2 linked regions of the Drosophila melanogaster genome follow. The gene in region 1 interacts genetically with each later gene. Each region holds a gene or a part of one and is shown on either strand. Other genes may lie near its edges.

Evidence for each region.
Region 2: of Fpps (region 1) and SNF4Agamma, changing one suppresses a phenotype caused by changing the other (phenotypic suppression), as found in Drosophila melanogaster (one study listed by BioGRID).

Annotation. Positions count from the first base shown.
Region 1 is NT_033778.4:11,303,974-11,309,877, forward strand, and holds Fpps (farnesyl pyrophosphate synthase), read right to left. Parts: upstream 3,556-5,904; 5' UTR 3,470-3,555; coding exon 3,288-3,469; intron 2,987-3,287; coding exon 2,892-2,986; intron 2,819-2,891; coding exon 2,607-2,818; intron 2,548-2,606; coding exon 2,186-2,547; intron 2,126-2,185; coding exon 1,899-2,125; intron 1,839-1,898; coding exon 1,657-1,838; 3' UTR 1,538-1,656; downstream 1-1,537. Other genes in the region: CG7741 (uncharacterized protein), read left to right, coding at 1-178, 235-552, 611-719, 778-1,106, 1,165-1,322, 1,378-1,519; CG7745 (uncharacterized protein), read left to right, coding at 3,974-4,124, 4,183-5,552.
Region 2 is NT_033777.3:21,153,647-21,159,783, reverse strand, and holds the start of SNF4Agamma (SNF4/AMP-activated protein kinase gamma subunit), read right to left. Parts: upstream 3,423-6,137; 5' UTR 3,373-3,422; intron 2,347-3,372; exon of another isoform or gene 2,288-2,346; 5' UTR 2,127-2,287; intron 547-2,126; exon of another isoform or gene 395-546; coding exon of another isoform or gene 1-394. Other genes in the region: cDIP (common Dpr-interacting protein), read left to right, coding at 1-394.

The DNA.
Region 1 (5,904 bases):
TGGTTTGGAGGCACAGGGCACTGCAGATTCCGCTGGCTCGGAACACGAGTTCACCAAAGCCGATGTCATCGCTGTGAGGAACTCATGTTTGGTGTCCAAGAACTGCTCCACAGAGTACCGCGGTGTGGATGTGCTCCTAACATCGCAATGGCCCTTTGGTATGCAGGAGAAGGAAAACGTAAATATACATCTAGAGCACTTGTTACTGTGAAACTAACTAATTCCTCTTCTCAGGCCACAGCATCCAAGTTGGTATCATTTCTTTGTCGTGAAATAAAGCCGCGCTATCACTTTTGTGCCATTAATGGAACACACTACGAAAGCGCACCCTTTCGGATGCCCAAAGATGAGACTACCCAGTTTGAACTGTGCACTCGCTTCATTTCCCTTGCGGAAGTGGGAAATGCCGAAAAAGCCAAGTACATCTATGCACTCAGCCTGAAGCCAGTAGACAAATCACGCTTATTGGACCTAGCGCAGAAGACAACAAATGAAATTCCGTGTCCTTTCATTGGCTTGGACTTAGGCGGAGCTATTGGCAAGAATGATTCGGTGGGTAACCTTTACATATCTATAAGTACTCCAAGTGACTAATTATATATTCTTTCAGTCAGAAAACCGACAATACTTCTACGACATGGATGGTGGCAGACGCAAGCGACAAGGCGGTGATAATAACAAAAGAGATAAACGTCCTAGAATACCGCAGATTGAGCAAGGTTTGTCTAGTACTTAATTTTACAAGCTGCATCCTTAATACTATTCCTATATTTGTAGATAAATGCTGGTTCTGTTTATCCTCACCTGATGTGGAGAAGCATCTCATTATCACTGTGGGCGAACATTTTTATCTTGCTCTGGCCAAAGGACCGATTAACAAACACCATGTCATGATATTGTCCACCAAGCATGTGCCCTGCGCTGCTCAACTAAGTCCAGATGATTGGAAGGAGCTCAACAAGTTCAAGGCAGCTTTGCGAAAGTTCTTCAAAACGTTAGGCCAAGTGGTGTGTTTTACTGAACGGCACTATAAATCGGTTCACCTACAAATCAACGCGCTTGCCTTTGAAGAAGGCTATGCCTGGAAGATAAAACATAGTTTTGAGGTATGCTCACGACATTCAACCTTTTATAACATATGATGTATATCCCACAACATTGCAGGATAAGGCGGAGGAATTTAATCTGGAATTTGAGACACTTCCCGCATTGGATTCTGAGAAAATGCTGCCTGAAATGGGACCTTATTTCCTGGCCGAGTTACCCGACGATAGCACACTTATAACGCGGCAAATGAAACACTTTCCCATTCATTTCGCAAGGTGCGTTAACTTCTCGATTTAAGCTACCAACTCTTGACTAAACTCATTTTTTCAGGGACGTGTTCTGTTCGGAGAATCTTCTTAACTGCGATGAAAAAGTGAACTGGAAGGATTGCCTTCTCGATAAGGACGAAGAAGTGGCGTATGTGGAAGATTTCCGAAAGGCTTTTGCGCCCTTTGATTTTACAGACGATTAAGCAAAGAACATTGTATGTATAGTAAAAAGTTCATATCGGTTGTAATTGCTGAGCCCTTGCTAACAGTTCATCCATGTAAATGCTAAAACTACAATTTAATTAAAAACGTATCCGTAAAGTCGTTGCGCTTGAGTAATTTAGGAGTCACGTTGGTAGATTTTGTTGAGTATTTGCAGGAAGGTCTGGTGAGGCACCCCGCGTGAGGTTTGTTGTATGTGCGTTTTAATCATGTTGTAGGATTCCTCCTCGAAAATGGCATAGGTGGATGGCAGTCCAAGTTCCTTGTACAGTTCTTTCACTCGCTCCACTTTAGCTGGTTCTGCAGGTTAATATTCAAAAGTCAATGTCTAATTGTGCGGGTTTGCTAAGCTAGTTTTACCTTCTTTGCCATAGCAATCGACCATGATTTGCTTTTGCTCGACATTGGCTCGCTGCATTGCCACCACTGCCAGCCACGAGCACTTGTTGTCCTGAATGTCGGTTCCAATTTTACCAGTCACTTCCGGATTACCGAAGCAGTCGAGGAAATCATCTTGAACCTGGAAAAAGTTGCCCATTTCTAGGAGAATGGTCTTCGATTGACGGAAGGCCTCTGCGTCTTTATAGCTAAACAATAGAGCGGAAGATTAATAAGCGGAATCTTATATATGTATGGCCATTACTTACCCAGCCAAGTGCAAAGCAAGTGCGAATGGAAGGTAGAAGGAGTAATAGGCAGTCTTATTTTCGACAATTGCTTTGTAGTTTTCCATTGTGAATTCCGAGACACAGCGGTTCGAGTTCAGTTGGTCCAACGATTGTCCGCAGGTAGTGATGTATGTGATTTCGTGGAAGAGCTCCATTAGGGCGACATAGCAGTCCAAGTGGCTGAAGTGCTTCTTGAGAATGGCATACATGGCGTTTTCAATCATAAGAGCATCGTTAATGGCAGTCAGGCCCACGTTCTCCACCTTGTGCCAGCAGGGTTGGCCGCGTCTGGTGGTGCTGTTGTCCATCACATCGTCTGAGATGATGAAAAAACTTTGGAGCTGAAAAGATGATCGATAACTTTGTATTAGGAAAACTATTTAATGCATAAAACTCCTACCATTTCCACACACCAGCCCAGATACTGGGCGAGCTTTATGTTCTCCGGCGTAAGATCCTGGGTGGGCACTAGATTCTTATACGTGAGCACGGTGAGGATGCCGCGGTTCTTCTTGCCCCTGGGCACATTGTACTGGAGGACTTGGGCGAACCATTTGGCTGCGTCGCTGCAATTGTATGCCTTCGTCACGGTGGTGATGTCACGCACAAGATCTGCACATCGAAATATAATTAGCATTAGTATTTGCATGATAATTGTTACTGGGCATAAATAAACAAATCTCACCTGGGAACACGGCCATAAAGTCGCGACTCTCATCTTTCGACACCGTGACGCGAGCGGCAATGGGAACCGAGTGATTTTGGAGCGTCGATAAGGTTCTGTGGACAAAACAAAAGTCAAGAACAATAGAGCCCATAACTGACACCACCAGGCAGGCACAAATACATACACACACACATGCACGCATCTATGGTCTACGTGACTGCATAAGCGGCTCGATACAAACTTTCTCCCCCACTTGAAATCAAGAAAAAAAGACCCCGAAACTCCTTTTCGAAAATCACGCCCAAAACAGGCCTCCGATACATGCATACCATGCCCATGCCCATACCGGTCGAAATGTAAACAAAACAAACAGGCAAGGCAAAGGTCAAGTGCGAAAACCGGTAGATTGATTACCTGCTAGTCTTCTTCAGCTTCTGTTCGTTGACCAGTTCGGTGGGGAGGCCGCCAATGGTGTCCATGGACTTGATGATGGGCTCTGCGTTGACCTCGTCGCTGGTAGAGATCAGGCGTTGCAGGCGCAGCGGGCTGGCCAGGATCCGCTGCTGCGGCAGGAGCATACGGGCCAGTTTAAACATTTTTATTTAAGATTATCGGCAGGTAACTATCCGCTTCACAAAACGGCAATTCAACTTCGGGTACCAAATTGCCAGTGTGACTGAATCTCGGTTCGCAAAAGAACCCACCTTAAAATTTCAAATAACCATAATACGTTTATAGCAACTATTTTATAGCTGACTTTTATTTTTCGAGAATTTTGTGAAGGTAACTTATAAGTTAAATTTTTAAACATTTTTATTTAGTAAATTCAGGAACAGCAAATGATTTACTTTTGCTGAAATTATTAATTTTATTGCGTGTTAATTAATTAAATGCATTACTATATATAAATCAAAATGCTGACGAATTTAAACATGATGCAAATTGTCGAATATATTTCGATATCAATATCTTCAAATTATATTTGACACTCTGCTGCTACATTTTCGGTCACACTGTTTCGATGTCCCATGAACAGTGTTGGAAATGGCCTGACATACACCAAAGGCAAATTGGCAGCTGAAAACACGAATTAAACTAAAATGATGGATGAGCAGCTAATTGACGAGGTAGCGCAGCACGGAGTGATCTACAACCGGCAGAAGTACTACCTCAACGGCGGCGCCAATGGTGGCAAGTACGAGACGAAGGACGAGGCCTGGCAGCTGATTGCGATGAAGCTGCGCACGGATGGTGAGGAAGACGCGCTCCTCCGGCAGATCCTCTATATAAATGTTGCCCTCCTTTCCAGTGGACACGTGCAAGAAGCGGTGGAAGTACCTACGCGAACGCTACGTGTCGCAGCGGAAGCAGGGCGATCCACCTGTCTACGAACACCTGTCGCGTCCATACCTGGAGAAAATGAAGTTCTTGGACCAGCACATCCAGCCGCGCAAGTCCTACCGCCATGTGCCGAACTTCCTAACATCTCCACAGTCCGCCAACAGCTCCGGCTACAACGAATACCAGGTTGATAAGTCCAATGGCTCCATGAAGAATGTGTCTCAGTTTGGCAGCTCAGGGCAAAGTCATCTTTACCACCAGCCGGATCAGCAACACGCAATGAGTGCTCTGAGTAACGTTGCTGCATCTGCGCTGGAAAACGTCAATGGCCAGGTGAAGATCGAGGCGGACCAGGTGTTCAGGGATTTTGCGGCTGCCGTGGCCTCACAGCAGCTCCAGCACATATCACAGTCACAAATGCAGCAACAGGCGGCGGCCGTTGCAGCTGTAATGGCTGATTCCTCGCAAGGTTATCAGGATCAATACAAGGATGGCTCCGTGGGCATGAACGGGGCCCAGAACAGCGCTGGCAGTCTGACCTCAACATCATCCTCGATGAAATCACCGCTGTCGTCGCCGCTGCAAGGAATTGGGGCAGGATCCCATCATCCTCAGCAGCAGACGCAACAACAACAGCAGCAGCAGCAGCAACAAGCGCAGCAACAGTCGCCGGCATCTGAACAGCAGCTTCCGGTGGTACATTCCTCTTCCAGCGCCACGGGCGCTTCCATCGGCAACAGTTCCACTCTGCAGATGCAACAGTCACATGTCTATAACCCCAAGGGCGATGGTCTAGACTCTTCGTCATCGAGCCATTTCCATATGAAGAAACCCCGTATTCAACTAAATGGCAATGCCCATAACCAGATGACCAGCAATGGTAGTCACTTTGGCAATGACTCGGACGACGAATCCGATGAGAACAGCCATGATCTGATGGAGCCGCAGGCTATGATGCAGCAGGAGAATCACTACAGCAATTCGATGCCCATGCAGCGGGGCAATGGAAATGGGAATAACAGTAGCAGCAATAGCGGGAGCAACAATCCCAGCGGCAATAATAGCCACAACAACCAGCAGCAGCAACAGCACCAGAACATGTTTCCGTCAAACACGGACTTCCTTTTCCAGTTATACCAGCAGTTCCCACATCAGGCCAGCAGTTCGCATCCCGCAAACTTCGGGAAATTCCAGGCGCCGCCCAATCATCCGGGTGTGCAGCGGTTGTCTGAGCATTTGCTGGGAGAATTAGTCACCACGGAACTGCTGAAAATGAACAAGGAACGGAAGAAAAGTGCACAGAAACGGATCCTAGAAATACTATTCTTCGACGATTAAAGGGCTAGCTACTAGGTATTTGTAAATAATGTAATCTATTATCCTTAACTTATGTTATTCGTTAGACGGTTGTCAGATAATAGTAATTGCATCGCTTTGGTCAAATTTCCCACCAATGAGTCATTTGCAAAGCTCTACGTTCTACCGAACACTTTTCAAATGTGCTAGTCAAGACCAGCAATTGGGATTCCATATCTGCATTAATTTATGTTTTTTTATATATGTTTAAGAATATAATGATCGGTTTTAATTTATTTAAATTCTTATTAAAGTGTACTCAATGGAAAAGTGTCTTTCCAATGTGAAAATTTGCAATTTATGTGTATTTGGGCATTTTTGTTAAAAGGGGTCA
Region 2 (6,137 bases), on another chromosome or scaffold:
TCATGGAAATAACTGGAACTGCTTCAGCCTGAGAAACATAATGGATGTGCTCATTCGTGCCAATGGCATTGCCTATACCGTGGATAACTACGATCCCGATTTTCCGGGGGAATACTTTCACGGAATAGCCTGCATGTATCGCTTGCCCGAAAAAGAGGGTGTGGACTCCTCCTCCTCTTCGGAAATCTCCGCCAGCGTAGAGTCCTCGCCCATAACAAGTAGTTCTGATCCCAGCGAGGTGGACAAACTGCGCGATGAACTGAAAGCAGTGGTGCAGCACTTTGATTCCAAGTTCGATTTGATATTCAGTAAACTGGCCCAATTGAATGAACAAATTCAGGCCTTTGAAGTGCTCAACAAAACTGTTTGGAGTCAAGTGACCTTGTCCGTTTGAAGTTGTTAAATATGGCCCATTTTTTATGTGATCACTACATTTTCAAAGCTTTACAATTATATGTATACATTATAATTAATATTTGAAGTATTTCCTAAAGCTTCTTAATTTTAAACATAAAATCTTTCGATCCAATAAATAAATCATTTTTTAAATTGTTGGAAGAATTCCACTAAAGAATTCGCGTGTATGTTTTTTTTACCAGTTCTTGATAATATACAAAGTTGGAACCATAATCTAACAAAACAGGAAGGCTTTTCGTCTTTGTTTAAGATTTAGTTTCCTAGAATATCATTTTTTTCTACGCCTATTCAATTCCTAATCTCGAAAACAATTTCTGCTCCATTTCCCTGCTGATTTTGCATACTCAACCCCAAAAAACCAATACAATTTGCAACATGAGCACATCTAGTAAATATTTATTGCTCGCTGTGTCGTATACGTAGAATAATATTTAAACAATAATATTGATTTTCGAGCAAAGCAAAGTTGGGTTCTTTTTCTGAAAGATATTGAAAGAGGTTCGTTCAACTCGGGCTGGCGAACCAAAATGGAAAAACGAGAAGAAAACTGGAGGGCGAAGACAAGATGGTGGGGCTCGGGGAACTTGAGTTGAATTGAACAAAGTCAAGTCAATTACAAAACCAATATTTTCGGAAACTAAACAACAATATTGAATTCGATCGAATGGACCAGAAACCGAGTTATTTTATTGCCATCTGCTAATGCGAACAGTTTTAATTATTTATGCTTTATCCCTTCTATTCGCTTACTCGCACATTTATGGCTAACTAATTGCTAAGATAAACAAACAGTTTCGATTTCAGTGCAGCCACTTCGTAAGGACGGAAAGTAGAAACAAATCCAATTTCACGGATCTCGACGATCACTGGTCGATCTGCTGATCCGGAGTATCGTGTGCATGTGATTAGGAATAAATCCATACATACATATGTATATCCATTCGAACACGAGTTTCAAATACGTTTTGTTTACATTGGCAGTGCAATTTTTGTTTTAAGGTAATTGGCGGCACACAAATCGTGGCAGCTGTAAGTGCGAACATTCAATTTTACCATATAGTGCGACTGACTATCTGCGACTTCTAGTAGTTGTATCCGCAGATCAAAGTTCGACATTTCCTGATTGCCAACTTCAGTAGCTATCTTTTTTTAATTTCTGGGCATTCGCTTGAAGTGTGCTTACTTAATTAGTCAATGTCTAAAATGTAGTAGGCATCGTGATAGGGTACTTTTACATTTAAAGAAATCCACTCACGATTTTATAACCATAACTTCAAATGAGTTTCGACAAAAAAAAGTCGTATGAAGAATTCAGGTAAGACCCTTTGAATTGTTTTATGTTATTATATTTTACATTGCCTGATTTAATACTGTTATTCCTGTTATTGATACTGTTATACACTATCTATTACATAATTGATCGCTTTTATTAAATGTTTTCTAAATATAAAAAAATTTAATAAAATTGTTTACACATTCTGAAAATCTAATTATGAAAAAATTTTGGGCGATTTTGGGTATTTTCCCAGCGTCGCCGCGAACTGGGGGAATTTCCCACCCACTCAACTTAGTCACCGACACAAAAGGCAGATGAAAAGTTTCGGGGAAAATCAAACGTCAAGCGCTCATATCAACACAAAAAGAAAATAAAGGCAGTGAAGTAAATCAGGTTTTCGATAATTATAAAAAGAAAATAAATTGTCACCCACCTTTTGTGTGTTTTTATCAGTAATTGGATGTTTCTGATTCGCGCTGGCAGATTGCAGAATCACAATTGTCGAATTTCGGTTAAAAAATTAATTTCACGGACACAGGAACGCATACACACATCCGCACATTCACGTACACACTAACACACATTCACGTTCACCTGAACGGGTGGAAAACAAAACTTTTGTAAACAATTTCGCGATTAGGCATTTAGCTGCGCTAAGAAATTATTGTAAATAAGAAGAGACGTAACGAATTAGCTGGTTGTGTTGGCGCATTATATGTTATATATATGTTATGAGTGTATATTCAGAGATTAGAGCGAAATTATAATGACGACTTTTCGCTGGATGTCCAAACACTTTCGAGGTGTTGACTTTTCAGATTAGATTACAGCACTCATTTCACTCGGCTAATTATCAGCCATTTGGTTCAACACCAAATAAATCACAAAACACGAAAACACCAGCAACAACAACCGAATCGATCTTAATAAAAGCAAAGAATGCGAGCCATAAAAATCAAGAATCAAAATGAAAATTTATTCGGGCGCGCGCTTCCACTTTGGACTCGACTTTCCAATTGGAACACGCAGTGATCGGACAATGGAAGGGGTGAGAAGAAGAAGAGGAGCAGCAGGACGTTGTTGTGTTTGCCACTTTTTATTAAGAATCTAAACCATTACTGCGCGAAACACAGCTAGAAACTGACACAAGGAACAAAAACAGAAGAATAGCAAATCTGGGCAAATAAAAGTATTTGTCCGTGGAAAATTTCCAAAACGTTTCTGTCGCTCTTTCCAGCGACGCCATGTGTTTGTTTGTATGCGTAACAGCTGATCGCCGATTATTGATTTTTTATAGGGATGTACATATGCACACATGTGTGTGTATGCATGGGCAGGAAAAGTGATTAGAGGCTATTGTTTTGTGTAACAAGAAAGAAGTTTCACAATTCACTTGCGCACTCAAAAGAACAAAGATCGATTGTCCGTTGTTGCCGTTGTTGTCACTGCAATTTCTGCAATCCATTCGCGCACAATTAAAAGCTGTTCACGCAGCTTATCACAGAAGAATTTTATGGCTAAGCCACCCACTGGCGCGGACATGCTATCCTGACACCATGCCGGAATTTTCTCTCAATTAAATTATTTATTATAAATTAGTAAGAATTTAAGAACATTTAATTTGCTTTGTTTTTCACTGCACTCCCGTTTTTTAACGCGAATTAAAAGTTTTTCCCAACCTCGTAATCCGCTGCGTTTTCACCAAGCAAAGTTCGCAACCTAACTCACGATTGTGGTCATCGTTATCGTTTGCGAAATCCAGCAGAAAAGGTCTTACTCTTCGCCTATCGTTATCGCTAGAGATCTTTTTACAATCCAGTTGGAATTAGCGTGACCACAACTGTAACGTTGTTTTAGTATTTTTCTATAACTCGTTGTTTGCAATTTTACTGAAATATGTGCATTTAAATAGTAAATTCTTAAGTGCCCACTCGCGTAAGTAAATACGCACATATATCTACTTATTTATTCAATAAACAAGAATCATTGAGAATTCTTTAGTTGCGTAGAAGTTATTTTAAATAAAATGCGCTTTGCTACTTTCCGGCGGCGGTCACACTTAAAAAACAACGCGTTGCCAGATCGGACCGTGTTCGCAATAGCAATCAGTTTTTGTCATGCACCGCCGCTTTAGGCGCCAAAATGATATAAGTTTGAATTGCAAAAATTGCTCCGCTCTGTAAATCACGCCGAACATACAAAATAGAAAACATTTTAGCTATAAAAAAAACTTTAGCTTTTATAAAAAAAGCTATAAAAGCTATAAAAAAAACTTTAGCTAGCTTTAGCTAAAAAAAATTAAACTTATGTACATAAGCATATTCCTATTTCCATCATAGTGCTGGAAATTAGATTTTATGCCCCATAAATAATCATAACCAGTTGCCTTGGCATGCCTTTCACACTTTCGGAGCCCACCCAAACTCTTTGAAACTTCAGCTAAGCCAACAAAAATCAATAAAAATGGCGCATTGCACAGAGGCCACCGAGGAGCACACAATGACGCCACCAGAAACAGCAAAATACTTGAAATCGGAGTCGATGAATTTGCCACCATTCACGAACTTCATTTAGACCATTCCAAATAGGTCCAAGGACGCAATAAATACATTTGAAGTACTCTCGAAAATAAGTTTCCTCGATGCTCAGGGTTTTTTGCTAGCTCGATCAATCAATCCCAGCCGAGGAACTGGGAACACTCACCTGCTCGATGTCGAAGTCCCATTCGGGCGATGGAGAACGCGCTGTTCGGCCGCCCGGCGGAGGCGTTCCCAATGCGGGGGAACCGGCTTGGGGCTCTTCGGGAATCACGGCGAAGCGACCCCGCTGGAGGATTGGCGAAATGGCGCCATAATTAGCTGCAAAGGCGAAAGAAGGGGTCAGTATTCAGCACCATGCATTTATTATCGAGAATTTGACCAAAAGATATCAATTACTATTAGCATAACTGTAATGATTAATGTCGTATACTTTATATAAACTCAAATTGTAAAGGCGAAAAAGTACCAAATCAACTTACACGTGGGCATGAGACGAAAGCGGCCGAGCGTCGTTTCGGGCGGGCCCTGTGGCGTGGAGGAGGTGACACGGAAGCGTCCTCGGCGGGCGGCGGCCACGTCCTCGTAGTTGCTGCCCCCCGACGCTCCGCCGGCACTGCTCTGCATCCTGTGGCTGATGCTTCCTTGTCGGCCTCGCCGAAAACTGCAATGGAGTGTGAGAAAAATCAAATCAATATTGCGCACAGGTGGCAAAGTTCTTGTTTCCTTTGACTAAAACAACTGAAACTCAATTAAGCCAATGGCATTAGAGTATATTGATCTTTGATGGAACTATATAAAACATTTTCCGTAAATTCTCTAATATAAAAAACTTAGCAAAACTTAGATATAAAGACGCTTTTATGAACACTAAAATTAACCAATCAAAACAATTAAAACAAATGGTCATTGATTTATATATCTTGCATTATACATACCTAATTTTATATAGACTTTACTTGAACGAATTTTAACTAATAGTTTCAACTCAACTACAGCTAACATTTCCTAACATTACTAATACGCCACGTTGGCTCTATGGAATGACTTTAGTTCAACGCTGTTGGTTTTTTTGGCTTGGTAATCCGAGTTTCGCCCCACTGTGCAGTGGTCAGAGGCAGTCGGAAAGTTGACTTTACGGGCTCATTGCACGCTAGTTTAGTTTGGCTTTCTTGACGCCTCTAAGCAGACTACATAATGTACACATTGGCCACGCTCTTTCTCACTCTCTCTTTGTGGAAATCATAATTGAAAGTCTCGAAAAGTGCATGAACGAATTCCTTAAAAGTGTGCCACACAAGTCATTCAACTGCAGAAATATTAATATATATAGGAAAAGCGGTGTGGGCTGAACAGCTGACTGAGCGCCACGCGACAACGCGGCGTATGTGTGATATTTTTGGTTGATTGCCTGGCTGCGCAGAAATAAAAACGCCAGCCAAGCATTTCACATATCTTTTATCGTTTGTTTTTATTTTCTCAATTGAATCTGTAATAAATTTCGCTAGAAACGAAATTGTTTACTCGCATGAGACACCATTTATGTGACTAATTTCCGAGCATCAAGAGGAATTTTTGATTACCGCCAATGCTAGGCATGACAATAAAAAGCTTGGCATCTTTATAAGTAAATTGCATATACAATTTATTGAATTGCGACTAAAGTCAGCGACCTTAATTTATAAATACATATATACGATATTTAAGTAATTTAAGAAAAGTCCTATTCCTTTTATTTAAATTCTTTGAGAACAATCACGTTTTTCAATTCATTTATTTAATCCTATTTTCATCTTATTGGCGTTAGCAAAGAGAAAGGCAAGGATTTCACCATATACGATTTCAGCGTTATTTACCTAATAAATCTTTATATCTTTGCCTCAGCAATTGAAAAGTTGAATTGTTAT